Arabidopsis thaliana: one gene and its partner. The protein of the gene in region 2 interacts with the protein of the main gene of each other region in a pairwise test. Each region holds a gene or a part of one and is shown on either strand. Other genes may lie near its edges.

Region 1 (8,892 bases), on a different chromosome or scaffold from region 2:
AGAATTATGTCTAGGTATAGCTCTGGTGGATAAAGTGGTGTAGGTAATATGGAAAAGATGAGAATTTTAGTGCCTCTGGCTCTCTTCTAAGTACTTTCTTGAGGTCAGCAACAGAAAACTATTGTTAAATTACAGAAGTATCAGATGAAATATAATAATTTAGTTACAAAGAGTCAGATGGCTCACAACAAAGAGCAAGTAATAGGCATCTAACGTAGCTTTGACTGGTAATGATTTGATATTAAAGTATTTGAATGATCTTTACATTCATATTCTGTCTTGTTTAGCCCCTGCATATTGTTTACTATCTTGTATTCTAGGTCTCTGTATAATAATAAGTTATTTTATACCTTGTCTAGGAAACAATCGCCACTGCTAAAGTTATCAAGGGATGAAACTTCTGTTGATAGTAGTTCCAATCTAACGGACAAAGATGCTGACAATGTAAGTTTGGTCTTGAGACTTTTGGCATCCAAAAATGGTGTGGTTCTTAGAAGACTCTTGATGGCTGCGGTTAGTTTCTACATCCTAATTGCTATTCTTCCCATCGTTTTTGCCAGTTTTCTGAACTTAAAGATTAGTCTCTAACAAAGTAAACAGGGAATAAGGTACCTTTCTGGTTATGGTCATCATTCATCCCCATGTTGACTTTAACTTGTGATTAAAGTAGATTTGTCGTATTTCTGAGGAAATGACCTCTCAAGTAATAAACTTTGTATTGTTCTCTGTTTTGATAAAACAGAACGGGACTTCACTGATCCGGACATTTATTTCAAGAGAGGCACTTGTCATACGCCAGAAACTTTGCATGACGATTGCAACTACGATGTACCAATGGATGGTTGGAAGCCTTGGAATTGAATCCCTTAAATTCATTTCTCTTTCAGACCCACCACCATCTTCAGGAATCAACATTACAGTCAAAGACTTCAAGATTCTAATCAATGACAAGCGGGTCAGAGTAATACTGAGAAAGATACTGGAGTCTGCAAAGAGTGACCGAGTTTTGATGCTCAGATTCTGCTGGACTTCCTTTGTCATGTCTCTCACCACCACTGCGCTTGCTTGCCATCGGTTTGTGATCTCGGTCTCTGAAGGTTACGTCAACTACTTATCTCTGTCTGCTCCAGTCGCACTTCGTACCTGATTACCTGAACATCCTACACCAACACAGAACCAGAATCACTAATGTATATTGTTGTCAAGACCCAAAGCAAAGGGTTCCTTAGTAAGAGGGATAGATTCTACAGAAAGACTAAATATTTTCGTGTATAGAGTCGTTCCATATCTAATCCTATCAGACGATCAATGCCTGTCGTAACGATATATGACTAATCATAATATCCGAGACCTCAAGGAATCCTTTTGCTCTGCTTCAAGAACACTTAATAGAGTTCTCCACTCTAAAATGTCCTACATTTACCGAAACCTCTTGGGCAAGTCCAAAACACAAAACATATTTGATTGAATAGGACAAGCGTTTGTGTAAAACATATCAGTTAACTAGATCTAAAGTCTGTCTACTAATATGAAATGATATCATAAAGCGTTTGAGCTTATAGCAAAATTCAGATAAAGAAATAAGAAAAGTGTTCATTCCTAAGTTCATATCATTTACAAAGAATGAACAAACAGAATGTAAAAAGTATAGTCCTATCACTTCTTGAACGTAAACTCAGACAAATCAACCTTGACATGCTCAACAATCTCCTTCTCTTCTCTAACAGGACTTGCCATGTCAACTTGGGGATGATGACTATTGCTGAATTCAGAATCTGTGATCTCACGTTGGTAAGAGTGATTCTGAGATTCAGGGTCGAAGAAATGCTGATGGCCATGGCCTTGGCCGCTATAATCAGAGAATCTAGGAGGAGAAGGAGAAGCAGTGAAGCTGGTTTGTTGGTCGAGGCTGCGGTTATTGTAGTTGTGGAGGAGATGCACCGGTGACATGCCATGTGTTGGCGTAGTAGGACGGCTCGAGTGAGGTGTGTTAGATCCTGAGTGTCCATGTTTCGTCTGTTTCTTGGCTGTGTGGTGCCATTTCTTCAATGCATTGGCTACCCTGTCGTTGAATATTGTCGGCCTCATTGATGTTCCCATCTGCAATCACATTTTAGTGTTAGAGAAATCCTATACATCCAAAATAATCTAAACTATATATGGGACAATCACAATTTTGTAGCAAACCCTTAATTGTTTCAAACATGACGCATTGACACTTAGCAATTTAAAATTTGTTAAAAGTTGTACCTGAGTAACAAGAGCATAGAGAGGTAGAGTGATGTAGCTGCATAGAACTTGTATTAATACCCTGCCGTATACAACAAGAAGAAATTTATCGTTAAGGTTCAAAACATACAAAAGATAATATTATTTTGTTGTATGTTATGTATAGTTGAGGAAGTTAACAAACCCCATGGTGATCCTAATTGCAATGTCTTCTGTTTTGTGGTGGAAGCAGTTTTTGAGTGTGAATTCGTACTGCAAAATTAATTCATAACCAAAATCATTAATTTTTTTTCAAAAACATATATAAATTGGAAGAAGAAAATGGATTGTTATTGCTCACAGTGCTCCAAACGAAGAAAGCCAGTTGAAATGCATTCTATAAACAAAATACATAGAAGAAACAAAATTTAGAAAGTCATAAGAAAAGGGTTGACAAAAAAAAAACTTAAGATGGTAAATGTAAAAAAGTAAATAAGTGTACCGTGAAAAGAACCAAGTGAATGAGGAAGAGAATGAAACGAGGACGACCAAACCAAAAGAGATCATCGCCCGGTTCAACCACAGGAGCTCCTTTAACCACATCTCCTTTTTCTTGAATCCTTAATCCTAATTTCGATATTATCATTTGAAGTTTTGCTCCTACTATCAATATCACCTTCAATATTTACACCAACCATATACAATTATTGTTTATTCACAGCTACATAATTAATACACTGAAGACTTTGAAGTGAAATTTTTTATTACTTACAATCAAGGGAAGGAAGGGCAGCCAAAGATATGAGTCCCATCCTATTTTAATTTGAAAAAGACATTGAAATTTAGAAAGATATTTCGTTGATATATAACGATTTGCTTAATCTCTTAAATGAATTGTTAGAGAATTAGGACATACCATGTGTATTGGTCAATATGAATAAGACAGCAATGCACCATATCAGTGGGCTGCATTCACACAAAGATATTTAATCAGATATTTAACTTTTGTGCAAGATTGTTTGAACAAAATATTAACAAACTTGGTTTAAATAAAAATAAAAAATGGGACATACTGTACCTTATACCGACAACCACCGTGAAATCTTGTTCCAAAGATCTTTCAATGTATTTTTGGAAATCGAAACGAGCGGCACTTCCTGCTGGCAAATGTGCCTGCACCAATTCACCAATTGGAGTAATTAATCAACAATTCATAGTGTATTACTAGTAGTATATGCTAATTATTACTTACCATAATAAAGCCATGTCTTAGTGTAAGATAATCTACTTTTGTCACTGATCCAAAGAACTGTCTGAAGAAACATGTCTGCATTCCATTTCCATCCATAAGTTTTGTTGTCAATTTTTAACCAAATTATATATAAAAAAATTACTCACAAAAAGTAAAGAAATGAAAACTTACAATCCAGAGGGTAAAGGTAGACTTGCTCCATATATTCAGATGTCTACGTCCGAACGATGTATCTCTTGCAAATCTGAACCTCTCTGGATCTATAATAGTTAAATAACCAATTGAACTAAACAAATTAAATCAGAGGACAGATAATATATAGTTAAATAAAAATAAAATATGATGTTACTTTCTTGTGTTAAATTGTTTATTCGTGAGTCAAACAAACGACGTTGTAATTAATCAACAATTCAATTATCTAACTCAATCAAATAAACAAACTAATCAATGAAATAAACAATTATCTTCCCACTGATACGCTATCAAGATGTTAACCTTGGCAAAGTCAACTACCGGATTATTAGTCATTTTTCTTTGATTAATTACTTCTACAAATATAAACTCTATGGCGATGAGATAGTGTGTGTTGTATATGTACATACCATTGGCATATTGGTACTCAATTGTTTTGGTCTCTCTCTCCCATGACTTCCATTTCTTCATCTACATATTGCATAACCATATATAGATTAAAAAACAAATTAAACACATACAAATATATGCATAAACTTGTACAAAATGTATAGAGAAGATCATGTACCTTGGTCTTTCCTAAAGCATAGGTTATAATGCAGTAGAGAACATGAAAAACAGCGAGCACAAAGATGAATATATGCAGCTGGTGGATACCATAGGCAGATACTAATGCTACTTTCCCCTGAAATCGAAAATATGAAATAAGATTCCGATATATATATTTGCTAAACATAAAAGCGGCATACTAGTATAGTTAGTAAGTAATTATGAATTACATGCCTTTTCTGCGCATTTGTCATAACCCTTGGTGGCTAAATTTCGGCGAGGACTGTAAAAGTCGTTGGAGTCAAAATCTTCAAGAATTTTGCGGCCATCGTCGATATAATCTTTACCATATTTGGCGATTTCTTGATGGTTGCTACAAGGATGCCAAGTCGCAGCAATATTTCTTGGAATGCAAATCTCGGAGACTGGTGTTTGCAATACAACCAATAGAAGCGATATGAATCCCAGAAGCATCAGTTCTATTTTCATCACAATCCAACAACAAAAGAAGAAAGTTAGTTGGGAATCCAAATAGAGAAAGATTTATCATATTGTAATATAAAAAGTCGTCTTTGATGACAACTTTTTATAGAATAGTGAATTAACTTGCCTGCTTTAACCTTTTCAAGAGCTTCAGATAAAGCTTTCTTGTGCTTCTTCTTAAACCACTACAATAAGTGAAAAGAAGAATTAGAGATTAATTATGGGGTTATACCGAATAAATTTTGATTGCCTAGTTAAGAAAAAGCGAGATGATGCATTAATAACCTTAAAATGCAAAAGTAATAGTACTAAATTAATGTGTACTTTCGTATCATTTGGAGAAAAGCAAAAAGAGAGAAAGGAAGATTTGGAAATATAAAAATGAAAAATATACGTACGTGACCAATAAAGTGCAAGAAGTATTCGATCATGATGGAAATGAAAAGGAGAACGAAGCAAACTACAGCAACAGCCCATGTTGGTGTTTCCTCTAGTGATCGCTCTTTTATTGCCATTAATTTCACTGCTCAAAACTCTTTTTAAGTTGTTTTTGTTAAACTTTAAACTCTTAAGTTTCTTAGCTTTTAGGGTTTCGCAAGTTTATCGATAAGGGGAAAAGGAGAAAGAAAGTGATATGGACTTTGTTCCTGTTATGTCTCTATATATACATAATTCAATTAAAAACAAGATGCCTATACATGAGTTGTTGTTATTTCTTTGTAAAGAGAATAAAAAGAAAGTCAAACAAGTGAAAGCCGCAATTATTTATTAAAAAATAAGGGAAACGAAGACTTTGACTAATTCAAAGATAACGACTTGAGATGAAGTGGCATGAGGAGACTGGTAATGCCGTGTGAACTTAGCTACCACTTCTTATGGGTCATGCATACCTTAAAACGATTTTTTCAATTTTAAAAACTAAATGTAGTGTTCGGTCGTTCTGATGAAGACTGAAATTTTTTATTTTATTTTTATTTTTAAAAGACCGAAATTTATTCATGCCTCGCATTCACATTTTACGGTACGATCAAAGAAATGGGTTTTGGCAGTTATTATGAATGTCTGCGATGTTGAACTGAAAAAGATACTTTTTAATATATCATAAATTTATTGAATGAGATTATGTAAAATCTTCTTTAAAGAAAAACGAAGTAAAAGAATCTCTAACCAAAGTAAGGTGGAAAAAATTTCCATGCAAAAGAAACTAGTTTATCTACTTTTGGGTTTCGGAAATAAAATAGTGGCCAAGCGATAAACCGAGGTAAAATTGAAGCGGTCATTTAATGATTGATATTCCATTCTCATCAGTTCTTGTTTTAACTAAACAATTATAGAGCCAACATGTTACTCAGTGAGTTAATTTCTGACGAAAACGGTACATAAAAACTTAAAACGATTTTGGTTTGGTGGTGGCCTAAAAAGAATTCATGTTTCTATGCCATATCAGGATTTAAATCTCCAAAGTACAAATTTTTTAAAAACTTTTGGAAAATTCTAGCTATACGTGGTAAACATTTCGCAAAATCCAGTATGATTTATTTTGAATCATGTGTTGTACATGTAATATCGTGTGCTATGGGTTGGACGACTATTCATCTGGAACTAGTTATCAGTTAGGTATGTTGGTTAAGACGTTGGATCAGCATTGATAACAAGTATGTTAAGATATTTTCATAAATATTATTGTGAATTGATATTACTAAATATCAAACCAAAAAAAAAAAAAAAAAATCAAATTGTGGTAAATGGACTCAATCAAGGTGTGGCTTAGGACATAGTTGCCGTTACCGGAAATTTGGAATTGATTATCGTCTCATGTGTTAAACATACCTGTTGTCGTTAATATAAATTTTCTTTGTATCCAATAAAAAATTTACAGATTGACAGTTACACTTTTTTAACCCATAATGAAGGTATCCTTTAACAAAAAGAAAAGATAGATGGAAATATATATTTAAGCGTGAGGTGAAACTTATCGTGAAGTCAAACTTAACCATAGCTGGAATTGGAAGTACTTTGGGTTGACTATGATAATTGTTTATTAAAATAATTATGGGTCTGCCTTGCATTTCTTGATTATTTATACAAAACGATCAGTGGCTTATAGAAAGGACTTGTAACACAAGGTGACTAAACAAAGAAAACACTCACTAACGGTATTTACAATTTAAAAATCATGAAAAGATGTTCTTTCTTACTTCCAATCTCGATGGAGCATTTACCAAATTAGCCATTTTTGTTTTTCAACTCCATTTTGATATGACTGTCCGACTAATAATATTAGTCATATTTTCAATCAATTTTTTTTTTTCTCCAAGTAAAGTATCAATATAGCCAATACCACCGTAAAATTCCATTTTTTCTTTTGGAATGGGATCAGTTTTGGTATTAATACAATGCCCATTATATTATGGTTTTATCCTATACAACTTATTTCCACCAAGTTAGAGTTGGAACTTCGATAGAATAGTGGATTTCCACATTTTCACTCAAATTGATAAAATAATATTTCAACCGTTTCATCAGGAAGTTGAAATAATTAAATAATTTGTCATTTAAAAAAAAAGAAGGTTAGAGTCAACTCAAATCATATTGACATTGCCATTCTATGATATGTACTGATCTAAACTTCCTAAGCGTTGACTCTTTATTGGTAAGGTTGTGGTGTAAAATCATCCATGTGTCCATCTTTGTTTTGACCCATAGCTCCAATTTTTCAATCTTAACCGATCTCATATGGTTTCCTTCTTTGAATTTTGTATTCTTTGCCACATCGTTATCCAATATAAAATTTTGAAAGTCATCCCTGAAAACGTGTTGTTCCCTTGTTTTTTCTGCAAGTTGAACAAATCTTAATAATGAGTTGTATTCAATTCAGATTAAATTTTAATTAAATTCATATTTAATCTTTAATTAAATAGATTAACAGTTTAATATTTCTCCAAGTTGGATGGACAATAAAATTTATGATGTTTTTTCTTGGTTGACCGCCACTTAAGTTACTTTGAAGAAAAAACATAGAAATTTACGTATTGTTTCTAATTTTAGGTAACTATTTAAGAGCTTTATTGAACAAAAAAAGGTAACAATTTAAGAGCTTTCATAGCCTAACTAAGAAAAAAATCAAAAAACAGAACACGGAAGTTATTACATTTCAAGTCAATTAGTATACGGAAACAGGAAAATATATACAAGGTTAGCATTTTCTCCTCATAAATTTTAATTAAAAATCATCTGCAATTATGTACGTTGTGTCCATAAAAAATGAAAACTAAATGTACACGATATATGTTTGTTTTTGACGGTTTGTATTTTATGAAATTCATTTATGTATCATATCAGTTTTAATATTCCAAAATTCTCTATGATTTTTTTGAATATCTTAAAACTATGCATGATATTGATGTAAATATTTACAGCAAATTATTTTATTTATGGATTTCATTCATGACATGAAATATCGTTTACATTGCTTAGGGAAATAAAAATAATTATGGTTGACTCTTTATATATTTATGTATTTATATTCATAGTGAGTGATTGAATTAATAACCTTATATCATATTTAAATAGGTTTTATAAGAACTTATTAACCACTTTTTTTTTTTTTTTTTTTTTGTCACAAAACCACTTTTAAGATACAATTTGCAATGTATTGTATAAGAGCAAATACAAATATTTAATATACAAAAATGGTTTTGCAAATTAATATTTTTGACACAGAATATCTATTGATTTATAATATGTTATTATCTTTATAATATGTTTTAGTTAGTAGGTGTTTTTCCTTTATTTTCTCTAAGTGTGATAGATATCATCACAAATTCATCTTCTTCTTTTTTTCTATTTTTATGTGGATTTTGGTTTGTAAGCGACTTTGATTAGGATCAATGTGTTTTACTAATTAAATACATTTAGTTTAGAATAAATGTTAGTGGGCTTCTGATAGAAACAAATAAGCTCACTCGCTCAAAGAATTAGTGGTAAAGTCCAAAGTTTTTTTTTTCTTTTTTTTTCTTTTTTTTTGGTCAAACAACTAGTCCTAAATCTTTTTCCTACTAATGAGTGTTTCTTCAGAAACTCATAATATTTTGGGGAACATTTGGTTTTATCTTTATCCCTAACTAAGACCGTAATATTCAAAAACTACAAATTAATCCACACAAATTTGGAGACTAATTAATAATTAACATCTTCTCTTTTATAAC
Region 2 (8,593 bases):
AATAAGTGGAAAAAAATTGCACATACCAATAACAGGCAAATTCCCAAATTCTTCATCAATTCTCTTTTTTAGCTGAACACCATTCAAACCAGGCATATGGTAATCGGTGATTACAACATCTATATTGTTGAATTGAGTAAGCGTAGTAACTGGTTCTGACGAATCTTTTGCTGTCATTACTTTGACTTCCCCAAATAGTTTTTCTATATATTAAAACAATTAAATAACTCATATATATGTTGAACAAACAATAAAACAAAAATAACTATATGTTGGTCAAGAAAATAAATTACACTATATAATATGAGAAATGTGTGTATGGGTTAGGCAGACCCGGCCTTGAAATTAGAAAATTGATCAAACACCAGCTTCTGGCCCATAATTAAAAATGTCAATATTCTTGAAAAAATCATTAATTTTCGTTTAAAAAAGAAACTACATAAAAGACCAATATTAATTCATCTGAAATAGATACTTGTTAGAAATAATTAGAAAGAAAAAAAAAGATTCACGTTTTACATGTATTTACAAACATTTGAATTAGACGAGTTTTGTAAGAATATTGTTTTTCTATCGAAGCTATTTTCATAAGACAAAATAACGACATGTTATTTATGAAGTAGTCGATTAATCGGAACACATATTTTCTATAAGGAAATTAATTAGATGAAAGATAATGATTGTTAATTATATGCAAAGTTCAAACTTATATGTATAGTAGTTAGTAGTAATATTATACATATAAGGACCATAAACTAATTGAACTCCTCTATCCTCCAAAAACAAAATTGAACAAATAACTCGATAACTAAACGTAGCTTTATCCCTGCAGACATATATATAAGATCTTTAATATCATGTGAGATCATTACACAAATTTGTGAGAGTAAATGAAAAGTTAGATATGTGCTTGTTATCGAAACGTTGATCGCATGTCTATGAACATATCAAAAAAACAAATATGTATGTAAAACCAACAAAACAAATAAACAAATATGAATGAAAATGAAAATCTTCAATTCTTATGCGAAAACGATAAATTCAGAACGTAGCCAAAACATAGTTCAATAGTCAGAAACTCACGATAATGATTATAGCGTTAGTTCAAATCGTAGCCAAAACATACAGATTTCTTCTTTCTTTTTCTTTTGCAAACACACTAATGCAAACTTAAAACTAGCTCTTAAGGTAACCCTTGGAACCAATATATATGGACTATAAATGTTAGAAAATTAGCTTTAGTAGAAAGATTAAAGAGGGAGAAAATTTAGTGTTTATAATTAAATCGTGTATCTAAAAAAAGTTACATTGGGCAAACCAAGAGTATCATTTGGTTCAGCTAAACCAAGTCAAATGACCTTAACATAATTTATTTATTTTTTGTTATTTTTTCTTTGCTATTAAGTAATTCGTAAATTTTTGGATCAAACCAAATGAAGAAAAAGAAACTAAAAAAAAAAAAAAAAGACATGTTACAAGATTATAATTTGTGAGGGCCAAAACCGAAATTATACCAAACCAAATCAAATGGTATATATTTTTTATATAATTAAACATCTCTGGAAAAAATACCACTACTTGAGCACTTTATGTTAATTTATATACAAAATCTAGACAAAATTAAGAAGATTTAAAGATATTTACAATAAAGTTTAGTTTCTAATTTTCGGATTTAGGATTGCTTGTCTATCAGATTTTTTGACTTCTTAGTTAGATTTATTAAATAAATATAAAACAATAACTTTGTGTTAATTACATGTGTCTATAATTCTGAATATACTTGCTATATGTCTATTTTTATTTTTGTAAATTAGGTGATAGATGTAGTAGCTATGTCTAAATTTATTTTAAGTTTTTAACTAATAAAACTAAACTTTAATTGAACTGAATTTGTTGTTTTTACTTTTTAGCTAATTACATGTTTCTTTGCTAAGTACCTAAGATAGCCTAATTTGGGACAATCTTTGCAAAAAAAGACGCATTGGTATCTTCGTAGAAAAGTGTTGTATTTTATCGCACTTGTTAAATAAAAATCTCGTGATTTTTTAATCATTTTTGAAAATACATAACTTATTTCCAAAATTGTCACTATATCAAAAATATTTGCAAATAATGAGTAAAGTCATTCACTATGTCTAATTCTCTTTTCAGTATTAAAACTTAACCCTCATTGAACAGTGTTTGTTCATAAGTTCATTTCAACTAGTTAATGGTGTTGGCTAACTAGGGTTTCTTTGCTTAAGAGCCCAAAGTAACCTAAACGAAGTAAAGGAATAAAAAAACAGATTAATAGAACATTTTTTTACATTGAGAAAAATGATAACTAGAAAAGGACTTTTGATTTGAGTCAAAGGGCGGGAAAATGAAACTGGTGATCCTAAAAGATCGGTCCCTCTCGACGGTAAAACTCTCCGGCCGACAAGCCTTGAGAGCAAAAACAAAAAACCAACAACAACAAAAATAATACATAAAAACAGAGAGAGAGGAAGACCCCAAAAAGCGAAGCAGATTCACCACAGAAGAACCAAAAACATTGCTTCTTCTGCGAAAACACGCCTAAAAACAACTTCTGAACACCGGAGAAACTCGCCGGAAAAATATAAGATAAACGAGACTTTTGTATCATTTGTTCATGATCACTTGGATTTCTTGAGATTAACGGTGGTTCTGAAAACTGCGTCATCGCAGACGAAACTCCACCAAAGGTAAGAAAGAGGAATCCCTGCACCGCGCCAAAGAGCATGAGCATCGATGTAGCCTTTGTACGGAGGGAAGTCGAACATTCTAAGACACAATGTGAGTATGCTCGAGATCAAGAAAGCTCTTAGCTTCCACTTTGATGGATGTGACGTTAAAGCCGCCCATAATCCCCATACTACTAGCTCTATTCCTCCAATCCCGAATATAACTTTCCAGTGAAGCCCTGCAATATAGCTCATATGCATTTCAAGAAACCCGTGTTTTCGTTTCGTAATGTAAAGTATATCCCTAAAGAACCATACCTTCATCGAGGTTGTAGAAATTAAGGTAGAGAATATGAGTTGCAACAACCGCAAGAATAGGTGCAGTAACCATGATTTTGACAGATTGATCTTGAATACTGAAGGACCGGAGTATTGCTAGAATAAGCGAAAATCCGGCTAATACAGTAGCTGAAGAGTAATCTAGCCTCTCCGTCAATTCAACATCTCTATATAACATAGTTCAAAGCAAAAAAGGAAAACATATAAGTGAGAATTATTTGACGAACAATCTTGGTATAGAAATAGGAATGTTACCTGCTATGACAAATACTACTCCAGAAGAGTGAATTCATTACAATGATGGCGTAGATATGCACTATTCCATTGTACTCGTAGTACGTTTTCCGATTTGGCTGGAGAGGCAATTTATAGTAAACGAGGATGAAATATGAGACCCATCCTTGAAACTGCATTGCAAGATCCAGAGCAGAGAAAGCAACAGAGACAGGTTCCTGAAAATATACAAATAGATGAGGAACAATACTTAAAGCTGAGACTTGTAGAGAGAATTGCAAAGAGAAGATTACCTGAATTCCGTAGACATGTTTGAGTGGCCATTTACCGAAATACTTGGTAGGTCTCTCTCCGTTTCTTTTTCTTTCTTCTTCTCTTGTCATCATGCATTCGTACTGACAATCACTTTGGCAATCCCATTGTTTCCATCTCAGGTAAAGTGGCTCTTGCATGTACCATGGACCGTCAATGGCTTTTCCATCAGCTGAAAATTTACAGTGTTGGAAGCAAGTATCCCCCACGCATCCAGTTTTCTGACATTGATCAACACATGACCTGGAAACCAATTAGCACATTAACACTAGTCTCTTCTTAAACTCAGCAAAAGCCAAAAGTATAAAGCAACCGAGGATACTCTAACAACAAAACTTTAACCATAGCCACTCTATGACACTAACATCCAACTAATTTCTCGAACTAAACCTTTGCCACGCTATGTAGCATTACACTAACACACACCCATAAGACCTTATTACAACAAACCCTGTCTCTAATGCAACATCAACCGGTCTAGCTAAATCGTAGTAAGCTGCCTTGAAACAAATTTCTGAGCTTTTTCATTTCTAATTAGGCTCAAGATAGATTAAGCTGTTTAGATGGCCTACAAAGCAAACAACAGAGAGACAGAGAGAAAGACAAGCTTCCACCCAACAAAAAAGAAACACCTAACTCCTCAAAAGCCACTTGCAGCATAAGTCCCTATCTAGTTTTTTGCCTTTATAATCTTTCCAACAAAAGCAATGACCCTACTACAGTGAAAATGAAGGGCTTGTGGAAACACACAAAGATCTCATCTCTAACGTGTCCCAACTCTCACCACACACAAGACTAAAGAAATTCATTTGGAAAAGTCAACCACATAGTTCTAATAAGCTCCTCCTACTTGAGTCACTCCTTTGTTAGTGGCTCTAAATTTCCACCAAACCTGTGAAACTCAATCCATACCTTACAAGTAAAAAAATCTGAACTTGTATCCTAAAACAGAAAGATCATTAAAGCTAAACCGAGAATTTGAGAATCAACTGCCAGAGTTATGCAATCAATGAATCTAACGGTCGACTCTGACAGTTAAATCAAAACATAGCTCAGCATTTATAATGTCAGTAAGCAATAACAGAAAGCTAATTAAGAAATAAAGTTTGTATTTTTACTTCTCCAAAGATATGAATAAAGCAGAGAAGAGCCGTGAATTGAAAGAAGCGATCTTAGAAAAGGAGAAAGGAGAAGACTTTTTACTTGTAAAGAGAATCAGAATCTCCTTCACTAGCTTCAAGTGTTGAAACAAGACACGATACCACAATAATAAGCAGAACCCATGGCAGATTTCGCGCCATCCGATTACCAAAAACAGAAGAAAGTAGAGAGTAGAGAGAAGAAATAGAAGAGAAGAAGAAAGGAGAAGCAAAAAGACAAAAGGAAGAAGCTTTCTCGTAGGGAAATTTCTAGAGAGCAGAGTAAGTCGGTGGGTGATCGGAGGAATTGAATGGGTTAGGGTGTGGCAGTTTCTTCTTGTCCATCAAATTACGGAGACAGGTGGATGCATAGAGCCAGAGAGAGAGAGAAGAAGAGAGAGATCTCGCTGCGGCAAAAGAGAGAGAGAGAGAGAGAGAGAAATCCCGTGAGGGTGAGAGAAGGAGGAAGTGAAGAAACAAGCGCGTGACGAAAGAGAGAGTGACGCGTGGGAGTTGTAGTGGTCACAGACGTCGACTTCTTCTTCAGACCATCCATTTCTTAATTTTTTATTTCTATCTAATTTTGAAGCTAATTTTTTATTTATTTAATCTATTTAACATACTCAATGACAAAAGAAGTTTATCTTCCACCAAAAGTCTTAGGAAGTATTCTGACTTTTTGGTTAAGAATCTATGACAAATAAGAGAAAAAGAAAACAAATGTATAATAGTTTAGATAACGTGAAAACAAATAAAAACGATGACAAATATTGTAATACATGACAACACGATGATTCCACAGCCTCACGTTCAAGACCTGCGCGTGTAGAAGAAAACGAACTTGTCCCCGAATTTTTGGGAGGAAATTTTCCTTAGTTTTGATTTAAACTGGTTTTATTTTTGTTACTATTAATGTTATAGTTAATCTCTCCTTTAAACTACACACGAGTCCCCGCCAAAATAAACAAAGAATAAAAAGTCAAAAAACGAATCAGTAGATTTGTAGTTGCGATCAATCAATAATCTTTAAGCATCATCGAGTGATACGACACACACACAAAAAATCATTATTATCATTGTTATTAGTTACAATCATAGAACTAAAAGAGAAGAAATATTTGTTTTGAAACGTTAGTAAAAAGAAGATCAAACATGATATTATGTTGCACGTGGTAATTAGTGTTTGCCAGAGTTTTGTAGGACTTGTGAGGTACGAGGAAGATTTTATTCCATTTTCCCAAACTCGTATCTTCTTCTTCTCTTAACAAATTTACATGTAACTTCTTTTTCCATTTTTCCAACCAATTAAATTATTTGAACAAGTGTAACGTAACCCTTTTATGTGCATAAAACACGGCAAACACATTGGAACCTTGGCTTATACTACTATTAAGAGAAATAGACAAATAAGCTGAAATTTGGAGATAAGTAATTTTTACAGTTTAGACTTTAGAGTTTATATATTAAAAAAGTCTCTTTCGTCACAAGTAGTCATCTACAGTATTCAATCAATTCTCCAACAACAACAAAAATCATCAAATTACAACGTCGGTCAAATAAACTATATAAATTTCGTAATCACAATGCACAAACAAACAAGTGTTAAGATATGTGTCAATTCGCATTTACTTCTTCAAGCTGTAATTTGTTGTGTTCCATGCTCATCATCACCCATTATCTCATCTTTTATTTTCCATGGCCACCCATTACATATTCTTTATTCAAATCCTAAGTGTAAGACTTTTTTTTAAGTAAACAAATAATTAATCAACTTCAACTCAAATATTTATGGTTTATCATTAAGATTCAAGATTGATTATCAGAGACTGAAATAATAGCTTGTAGATCGGCGAGACACTCCGCCGGAAGAGAGAGGAACGTGTTCATAAACAAATCGTCGATGGTCTCAACTTTCGCGACGCCGACGAGTCTACACTTTCCTTCTTCGTCCAGTCTCTCTCCTTTCCCTCTCTTGTTCTCTCCTATCGATTCCTCCGTCGTCAACACAGTTCTCACCACCAACGCCGGAGCTCTGTATATCCCTCCTCCCGCCGTGAAAAAGAACTTCGCCATAAACTCCAATTCCACCTGTAAAAGAAATCGAACAAAAACAGAGGATTATGGAAACAGAGGATTTCTTGACTAACAAAAAACAGAGGATTTAGGAAATATTCACCTTCCCGGATTCTTGGTTGATAGTTCCTTGGAAAATCTCCGGTGAGATATCGATTTTTAGAAACGGTGGCAATGGAAAGCCGAGAAACTTCGTGGTTTGGCTAGTGAGAGAAGGAATATAAAGAGTGGCCACATTGAAACAAACAGACAATTCAGAGTTTGATGCTCTGTTTTTGTCGTCGATTTTCTTGGCGGTTCCGGCACCAGAGCCACCTAGAGGAGAGTATTCGAAATCGGGATATCTGGAGATGCCAAGCTTACCTGTTCCAATAGTCTTGAAGCTGACACTGTAGAGAGTGTTGGGAAGCTGTGTTGTGTTGGGTTTTGGGTTTAGGGAATTTGAAATTAGTTTGATTTGGTTTTGGGATTTGTGGTTAATGTATCTTCTTGGGGATTTGTAATTGTAGATTGTTGTTGTTAAAGAGTTTATTTTTGTTGAAGCCATGTTTCTCTCACTATTAACAATTGTTATGATGTTTTTGGTTTGTTTTGAATCATTTTGATTGAAGAAAGCATAAATCTTATCGTCACAATTTTTATGTGGCTAGTTTCTAATGTTCATTCACCTTGAGATTCTACATTTCTTGGAATATCAATGTATTTGTGTACATGGGCTCAATAGGGTCAATTAACGTCAAAAAGAAGAAGAAGAAGAGATTATGGGTCAACTACATTTTACTCATTTTTGGGCTAAATATCTCACATGCTGGTGGGCCGTGGACTCGTGGGTTGGTTGGACAAAAGTCATAAAATAAAACTTCTCTAAAACTAGCTACAGTACTACATTTACAAAGTTTTTGAACCCCCACCTCAATAAATTTTTATTTCCTCCATTTATTACCCATGTAACCTTCATCCACAAAGTCAAACTCATAAATTTATCCGGGTAAAATTATACTTTTGAGAGTGATATGTTAGAATTTGGTAGTGAATTATAAGGTTAAGTTTTTTACCCATTAACCAAATTCGAATCTTGTTTAGGAGGGGGTATTTTATCCAGTCCGGTTCTTGGACTACGAGACATAGTTCGAATATCGTGGATAACAGTAACAGAAACAAAAATATTGACTTGTATGATATATATTTTGTCAAACTGACTTGTATGATTGATTGTATAATTCAAATTTCCATCGCTTAAACAAATTATCAAATTGTATAGTAATGAAAGGCAATGTAAAGAATGGTTGGTAATATATAAACTTCTCTAAAACTCTAAAAAAAGGAACAACAGCCATCTAAAAAAACATTAAAGACAACTATTGATACTTGTGTAACGTTTCGTGCTCAAATATGTGCATATGAAACACTTAATGGATGCTTATAATAAGAAGTAAGACTTTCCGCCGCTGTGGAAAATATAAACCCATAGAATTGGGACTGCTTTTGTAGAATGTGGACCGATCGGACTTTGTCAAATTTCGTTTTAACCGTTGGTCCTCCTTTCGCTTACTCATTTTCCGCACGCCATTAACGATAAAGATTCCCATTATTTTTCGTCGTCAAATTTGTCTAATCTCAACCATATTCTTTCACTAACATCATTTTTTTCTTTCTTACACTTACATCATATTCCCCAATCCAATTGGAAATCAGCACGATGTACTAGTCTAGTATCTTCTAAAAGAAAAGGATTAAATTTGAATTTAATGTGGTGATGTTCTTTCACGCCACGTTTTTGTAAGTTTGCAACACCATTTTGGGGTTTTAACA

What was found.
Region 1: the proteins of AT5G62130 (region 2) and MLO12 interact in a protein complementation assay, tested with the Arabidopsis thaliana proteins (one large-scale study listed by BioGRID).

The regions. Positions count from the first base shown.
Region 1 is NC_003071.7:16,354,599-16,363,490, forward strand, and holds MLO12 (Seven transmembrane MLO family protein), read right to left. Parts: upstream 5,346-8,892; 5' UTR 5,200-5,345; coding exon 5,083-5,199; intron 4,870-5,082; coding exon 4,812-4,869; intron 4,681-4,811; coding exon 4,436-4,680; intron 4,338-4,435; coding exon 4,221-4,337; intron 4,124-4,220; coding exon 4,063-4,123; intron 3,721-4,062; coding exon 3,632-3,720; intron 3,536-3,631; coding exon 3,461-3,535; intron 3,382-3,460; coding exon 3,287-3,381; intron 3,175-3,286; coding exon 3,125-3,174; intron 3,022-3,124; coding exon 2,981-3,021; intron 2,885-2,980; coding exon 2,711-2,884; intron 2,606-2,710; coding exon 2,570-2,605; intron 2,482-2,569; coding exon 2,414-2,481; intron 2,312-2,413; coding exon 2,251-2,311; intron 2,101-2,250; coding exon 1,657-2,100; 3' UTR 1,443-1,656; downstream 1-1,442. Other genes in the region: ATATH8 (Protein kinase superfamily protein), read left to right, coding at 360-513, 743-1,147.
Region 2 is NC_003076.8:24,948,049-24,956,641, forward strand, and holds AT5G62130 (Per1-like family protein), read right to left. Parts: upstream 5,185-8,593; 5' UTR 4,871-5,184; coding exon of another isoform or gene 4,773-4,870; 5' UTR 4,688-4,772; exon of another isoform or gene 4,462-4,687; 5' UTR 4,379-4,461; coding exon 4,354-4,378; exon of another isoform or gene 4,084-4,353; coding exon 4,005-4,083; exon of another isoform or gene 3,813-4,004; coding exon 3,551-3,812; intron 3,476-3,550; coding exon 3,279-3,475; intron 3,191-3,278; coding exon 3,003-3,190; coding exon of another isoform or gene 2,989-3,002; exon of another isoform or gene 2,924-2,988; coding exon 2,637-2,923; 3' UTR 2,216-2,636; downstream 1-2,215. Other genes in the region: RR23 (response regulator 23), read right to left, coding at 27-177; AT5G62140 (ATP-dependent Clp protease ATP-binding subunit), read right to left, coding at 6,515-6,796, 6,885-7,328.